Macaca mulatta: one gene and its partner. The protein of the gene in region 1 binds, or shares a complex with, the protein of each later gene. Links are inferred from orthologs where the notes say so. Each region holds a gene or a part of one and is shown on either strand. Other genes may lie near its edges.

Evidence for each region. Proteins that work in one complex are often made in the same cells at the same time.
Region 2: the proteins of ANXA11 (region 1) and TARDBP are in contact, whole or in part, in a cryo-EM structure (PDB 9FOR), measured with the Homo sapiens proteins. The link is inferred for Macaca mulatta from reciprocal best matches to the Homo sapiens genes ANXA11 and TARDBP. Residues at the interface, in NP_001148.1 of Homo sapiens: Gly56, Met57, Ala59, Met61, Ser62, Gly63, Phe65, Asn69, Pro71, Asn72, Leu73; in NP_031401.1 of Homo sapiens: Ala328, Leu330, Ser332, Trp334, Gly335, Met337, Gly338, Met339, Ala341, Ser342, Gln343.

Annotation. Positions count from the first base shown.
Region 1 is NC_133414.1:69,835,213-69,838,733, forward strand, and holds part of ANXA11 (annexin A11), read left to right. Parts: intron 1-1,277; coding exon 1,278-1,373; intron 1,374-2,467; coding exon 2,468-2,526; intron 2,527-2,726; coding exon 2,727-2,849; intron 2,850-3,521. UniProt on the Homo sapiens protein: Binds specifically to calcyclin in a calcium-dependent manner. Required for midbody formation and completion of the terminal phase of cytokinesis.
Region 2 is NC_133406.1:229,708,488-229,712,008, reverse strand, and holds part of TARDBP (TAR DNA-binding protein 43), read left to right. Parts: intron 1-1,814; coding exon 1,815-1,978; intron 1,979-3,385; coding exon 3,386-3,521. UniProt on the Homo sapiens protein: RNA-binding protein that is involved in various steps of RNA biogenesis and processing.

The sequences.
Region 1 (3,521 bases):
CCGCTCTGTGCTGCACACAGCAGGCACTGTGGCTCTCCCCATTTGCAGCTGTGGAAGCAGGCACAAGGTGGTAGGGAAGTGGGGGTGCACAGCTAGTAACAGCTGAGCTGGGATTTGAACCCAGGCCACCCGACCCCAGAGCACACTTTTTAACCTCTGCACTATCCTGTAATGGAGCCTGAGTGAATGCATTTTCATCTTAAATCATTATTTCTTTTAATGAGTACAGAACATGTAAGTAGTGCATCAAGCCCATGGCTTCACAAACATTACTTAGGAGAAAAGAGGAGCTGATTTGAAGAAGATATTGAGATAGATACAGATAGAGCAGAAATCACGACTTTAATATGCAAATGGAAGCTGAGACTCAGGCTGGGGAAGGAGAGTTTTATGTCCTGGGTCAGAGCTGGAGTCAGGACCCAGGTTTCCATCATGCTGCCTGCCTCTCTAGGAGCCAGCCGTCCACTCCCATGGGTGCTTTGCGTGTCCCAGATCGAGCTGGGCTGGCAGGGGTGGGCAGAAAAAGCCAGATTGGCTGGGGCAGGCTGGGCTTCAGCTCCCAGGCAGGCTGAGGAAGACAGATGGATGCATGAATAAAGCCAAGGAATGGCAGAGACTGCAGGTGTGGGGGATTTGAGAAGAGGGGACACTGTGTTGGGGTGCGTGGGAGTGGGCCCTGGAGGGGTATTAAGGTGCGATTTGCTTAAGTAGATTGGCAGTCCTGAGAAAAGGACCACACAGAGAGGGACATCAGGTGGTGTGTGTGACTTGTGACGAAATCTCTGGCTTCCTTGAGCGCTAGGCAGGCCTGGGGACGTGCAGGGTGTGGGAGCAGAGTGGGAGGCGGGGGATTTGGGGGCAGAGGCCACCTCACGTGAGTCCTCTGTTAGTCTGCTCATGCTGCCATGACAAAATACCACAAACTGGGTGGCTTAAGCAACAGACGTTCATTTTGTTGCAGTTCTGAAGGCCGGATGTCCTAGAGTGGGGTGCCGGTTTCTCCGTGGCCTCTTCGTGGCAATCAGTGTGCTCACAGGGTCTTCCCTCTGCATGTGCACGTCCCTGAGGTCTCTGTGTGTCCTAATCTCTTCTTCTAAGGAGACCAGGCGGATTGGATTAGGGTACACCCTAGCAGCATGTTTTAACTTAATCACCTCTTTAAAAATCTTATCTCCAACTACGGTTGTATTCTGAAGTCCTGGGAGTTGGGACTTCCACATATGAACTTTGAGGAGACACATTTCAGTTCATAAAATAAGCCTCTGTCATCCCCCTAGTTTTCAATGAGTACCAGAGAATGACAGGCCGGGACATTGAGAAGAGCATCTGCCGCGAGATGTCCGGGGATCTGGAGCAGGGCATGCTGGCTGTGGGTAAGTGTCTCAGGTTTGCCTGCCCACCGTCCAGGGGCTAACGTGTCGTAAGTGTTCAGGCTGTTCGCCTGTCCTCCAGCTGATGGGTGACATCGTGAAAGGACCACAGGATCCAAGATCACTCAACCCAGAGTGTCCAGATGCTGGGAAGTCATGCCGCTTCCCGGGTCCCTGTGCAGTTGAACCCCTAGCTGTCCTGGAGGTGTCTTGTGTGTGTGTGTGTCTTGTGTGTGTTTGTGGTGCAGCTCTGGAGAAGGGAACTGCAGTGTGGGTATTAGTGGGAGGGCATCCAGCTGCTCTCCCGGAGAAGTATGACTCATATCCTGCCAAGTTTCCTCTAAAAATACATCCCTGCAGGCAGTTGTCAGATGTTTGTGATGGAAACACGTGGAAAGATTTTTACTTGCAACAGCGAAACAGGCCCATGCTGAGGAAAGCTGGCTTGGCTCCGGGATGGTAGTGTGCCTCTTACATTGCCCATGTCCTCTAGCAGGGCCCGGTGGGCTCCAGGTCCCTCCCACTGTGCAGAGTTGGGTCCCCGCCCTGAGGCCCTCACAACCCCTCTTTCTACTCACCTGGGAAAATCAGTCTGCCCCTTTTTCCATTATGCTTTTTTTTTAGAGTTTTCTGGATGGGAGAGATGGAAAATCCTCATTTCCCTGCCTGCCCCCCACAGTAGGTCTCGTGACCTGGGAAGCCTAGGGAGATGCGCATTCCACTCGGCCACAGTTTCTCCATGAGGGTCATGGCCTCTCCAGTCTGCCCCTCCTGCCTGAGCAGCAGCACAGTTCCTCGTCACCATCTGCAGCTCCTCGCCCCACTAAGACCCCCGCCCCTCTGACTCTTGGTCCTTTCATCACGGTGGTTGCCAGGAAAGAGGGTGGGTTGGTGTCCAGACTCTGCGTGTTTCTGTTCCAAAGAGCTGGAGCCAAGATCATGGGATAGTTGAGCCTGGAACAGAAGGAAGAGGAGAAAAGATGGATGCAGTGATGGATGTGACATCTGGGCCTCTAAGAGGACACTTGTAGACTCCATGCCCTGCTTGGGCTGAGAATTTTCTGCAGATCTGGTTATGCTGAGTTTCTCTCTTCTAGTGAAATGTCTCAAGAACACCCCAGCCTTCTTTGCGGAGAGGCTCAACAAAGCCATGAGGGTATGTAACTTCCATGTGCAGGTTGCGATACCTTAGCCCCGCCTGTGCCTAGGTCCAAGGGCTGAGGGTAGAAGGCCTGGGGAGAGCCAAATCTCAGCCGAGAGTTCTGAGGACTTGGGTAGGGAGGGGACTGGAAGGCCCAGGGCGGGTGGGCAGGTGAGGAGGCCTGGTGCTCATGCTCTTGGGGGGACTCTCTTTAGGGGGCAGGAACAAAGGACCGGACCCTGATTCGCATCATGGTGTCTCGCAGTGAGACCGACCTCCTGGACATCAGATCGGAGTATAAGCGGATGTACGGCAAGTCGCTGTACCACGACATCTCGGTATGGCCCTGCTGCAGGCAGACTGGGCTCCCTTTTGGCATCCCAGTCACCTGTGGAACCTCCCTCCTTAGAGTGGCCGTATGCTTGGCCTCTGTGCTGTGTGTGGGCATCTTGTTTATGGACCTCAGACTTGCTCATCCCGTTGCCCCTAAACTTCTGAGGGCAGGTGGGTCATGACCTTGCTGTCGTCCCCACCTTGCATCCCCCAGCAGCATCAGAGAACACTCGGGACCTCCTCAACCTTGACCACGACCTTCAGCGTCCCAACCACCCTGTGATTCCTTGAGCTGTCAGTGAGAACTCATGTCCCAAAGGCTCTGTGGAGCTCTGCTCTCACTCACTGACAAAGCACTTGTTGCACTCAGCTTTATGGCATAGGCCACATAGTGAGGCTGTTCAGAGCGAAGGCCGTGGGGGTCACGCCACTTGGAGTCCAGCTTTTCTACTTGCTAACTGTGTGACCTTGAACAGCTTCCTTAAACCTCCCTGAACCCCAGCTCCATTGTCTTTAAGATGAGAAAATAATTGTTCCTTCCCGGGAATGTTGTGAGTATTGAGTGAGGTGGTACAGGTCAAGTGTCTATTAAACACTAGCCACTGTTGTATCGCTGTGCGGCAGAGCCAGTCTGACAAAATACATTCTCAGCTACATGGTCTAACACTCAAATTCTG
Region 2 (3,521 bases), on another chromosome or scaffold:
AAAATACAAAACTTAGACAGGCGCGGTGGTTTGCATCTGTAGTCTTAGTTACTGGGGAGGTTGAGGCAGGAGAATTGCTTGAACCCAGGAGGTGGAGGTTGCAGTAAGCTGAGATGGTGCCACTGCTCTCCAGCCTGGGCAGCAGAGCGGGACACCGTCTCAAAAAAAAGAAAAAGGGCCGGGTGCGGTGGCTCAAGCCTGTAATCCCAGCACTTTGGGAGGCCGAGACGGGTGGATCACGAGGTCAGGAGATCAAGACCATCCTGGCTAACGCGGTGAAACCCCGTCTCTACTAAAAATACAAAAAACTAGCCGGGCGAGGTGGCGGGCGCCTGTAGTCCCAGCTACTCGGGAGGCTGAGGCAGGAGAATGGCGTAAACCCGGGAGGCGGAGCTTGCAGTGAGCTGAGATCCGGCCACTGCACTCCAGCCTGGGCGACAGAGCGAGACTCCGTCTCAAAAAAAAAAAAGAAAAGAAAAAAATGTCATTTAATTTATCTCTCCAGGCCAGACACAGTGGCTCACACCTGTAATCCCAGCTACTCAGGAGACTGAGGCAGGAGAATCACTTAATCACTTGAACCCAGGAGGCAGAGGTTGCAGTGAGGGGAGATTACATCACTGCACTCCAGCCTGGGTGACAGAATGAGAATCCGTCTCAAAAAAAAAAAAAATTATCTCCCTTTCTCTTCTAAATAACCTAAGGTTAAGGTTGTGTAGGAGTTTTTTGTTGTTGTTGTTTGTTTTTTGAGATGGAGTCTTGCTCTGTCACCCAGGCTGGAGTGCAGTGGCGCGATCTTGGCTCACTGCAACCTCCACCTCTGGGGTTCAAGTAGTTCTCTGCCTCAGCCTCCTGAGTAGCTGGGATTACAGGCGCCTGCCACCACGACCGGCTAATTTTTGTATTTTTATCTATTTATTTATTTTATTTTATTTTGAGACAAAGTCTCGCCCAGGCTGGAGTGCAGTGGCACAGTCTTGGCTCACTGCAACCTCTGCCTCTTGGGTTCAGGCAATTCTCCTGCCTCAGCCTCCCAAGTAACTGGGATTACAGGCGCCTGCCACCGAGCCCGGCTAATTTTTTTGTGTGTTTTTAGCATAGATGGAGTTTCACCATCTTAGCCAGGCTGGTCTTGAACTCTTGACCTTGTGATCCACCTGCCTCAGCCTCCCAAAGTGCTGGGATTACAGGTGTGAGCCACCATGCCCAGCTGGTTATGTTTTTTTAAGTAAGCCAAACTTTTGGTTTCTTTTTCTTTTTTGAAATTAGAGATGGGGGCTCTTGCTCTGTTGCCTAGGCATATTGTAGTGGCTGTTCATAGACACCCTGCAGCCTCAAACTCCTGGACTCTAAGGCAGGAGTTTGTTGGAACTTCCTTCCTCAGCCTCCTGAGTTGTTGGAACTTACAGGCATATACACCACTGTGCCTGGTTTTCCATTTTATTGCAAAAGCTGTGTATTGTCGAATGTTTAGGAAAGATAAAAGTGAAATCTACATCAGGAGATACAAGTTGCTGATACTTAAAGTCAAAGTGAAGTAGAATTATTTTTGTTTTGATAAACCTTTTGAGAGAGATTGTAATCTGGAAGTACTACAAAAAACAAAATTGGAAATCACTGAATTTGCACCAGAAAAGCACCTCAGACACTAAACTTAAGCCTTTATTCTGTCCTCTAGAGCAAAAATCACTTCTTGCAAGTTTTCAGTGTCTTACTCTTCTTAGAGTCTTCTTTTTGCTTCTCATTTCTGGATGTAGGAGGTAGTGTTTTTAAAGAAGTGCTAAGTCTAAAAGGTTTCTGCTCATTTTATTTAGATAACAAAAGAAAAATGGATGAGACAGATGCTTCATCAGCAGTGAAAGTGAAAAGAGCAGTCCAGAAAACATCCGATTTAATAGTGTTGGGTCTCCCATGGAAAACAACTGAACAGGACCTGAAAGAGTATTTTAGTACCTTTGGAGAAGTTCTTATGGTGCAGGTAAACTTCGATTGCATCAAACAGTTTTTCTTTACAGTGAATGAGCATCTGGCATTTATTTATTGGTATACATAGAGATGGGGTCTCACTATGTTGCCTATGCTCTGGTGTTGAACTCCTGGGCTCAAACTGTCCTCCCACCTCAACCCCAGTGTGCTGAGCCATGATGCCTTAGCCACATTCTTGTTACTTTTTTTTTTTTTTTGGAGACCAAGTCTCACTTTGCTGTCCAGGCTGGAGTGCAGTGGCACTATCTTGGCTCACTGCAAACCTCCACCTCCTGGGTTTAAGCGATTTCTCCTGTCTTTAAGCGATTTCTCCTGTCTTAGCCTCCTGTATCTGGGATTACAGGCGCACATTATCACGCCTGGCTAATTTTGTATTTTTTAGTAGAGACAGGGTTTCACCAGTTGGCCAGGCTGTTCTTGAACTCCTGACCTCAGGTGATCCACCTGCCTTGGCCTCCCAGTGCTGGGATTACAGGTGTGAGCCACCGTGCCCGGCCATATTCTTGTTATTTTAATGGCACTGTACTTCCTGTTACACAAATGATACTTCCAATATTTGTTATATTTACACACATATCTTGTACTCTATATTATTACCTTCAATATTGTAAAATCCTGCTGTTGCGTGAAGGCTTAAGGGAATTAGGTGATAATAGCTTTTTATCTTTGAATTCATTCTAAGACATTCTGTTAAAATCCTGTTGTGGTGGCTCATGCCTGTAATCCCAGCATTTTGGTAGGCTGAGGTAGGAGGATTGCTTGAGGCCAGGAGTTCAAGACCACCTTAGCCAACATAATCCAGACTCAGGATTGCTTGAGGCCAGGAGTTCAAGACCACCTTAGCCAACATAATCCAGACTCAGTTTCTCTTTTTTTCTTTTTGGAGACAGGGTCTGGCTCTGTCAGCCAGGCTCTAGAGTGCAGTGGTGCAATTTAGGCTTGCTGCAACCTCTGCCTCCTGGATTCAAGCTATTCTTGTGCTTCAGCCTGCCAAGTAGCTGGGACTACAGACGCATGCCACTATACCTGGCTAATTTTTGTATTTTTTGTAGAGATAGGGTTTCACTGTGTTGCCCAGGCTGGACTTTAACTCCTGTGCTCAAGTTATCCAGCCTCCGAAAGCGCTGGGAATACAGGTGTGAGCCACCACGCCTGGCCCCATCTCTCTTTTTTTTAAGAACTCAAAAACATTTCTGTTGTATAAGTGAGTTTTGCTCTATTGTTAACACGGTATGGATTCAATATTAACCTCCTTGTTTTTACTCTGAAGACTAACTTGGTTTAAGTTTTAAACAACTGCATCCAGTTAAAACCATTCAAATTGTTTTTTAAGGAACTATGATTTGGGCGTGGAATGTGTATGTGTACTGTTAGAGTAAACTTAAATCATCCTTTCTAGGTCAAGAAAGATCTTAAGACTGGTCATTCAAAGGGGTTTGGCTTTGTTCGTTTTACGGAATATGAAACACAGGTGAAAGTAATGTCACAGCGACATATGATAGATGGACGATGGTGTGACTGTAAACTTCCTAATT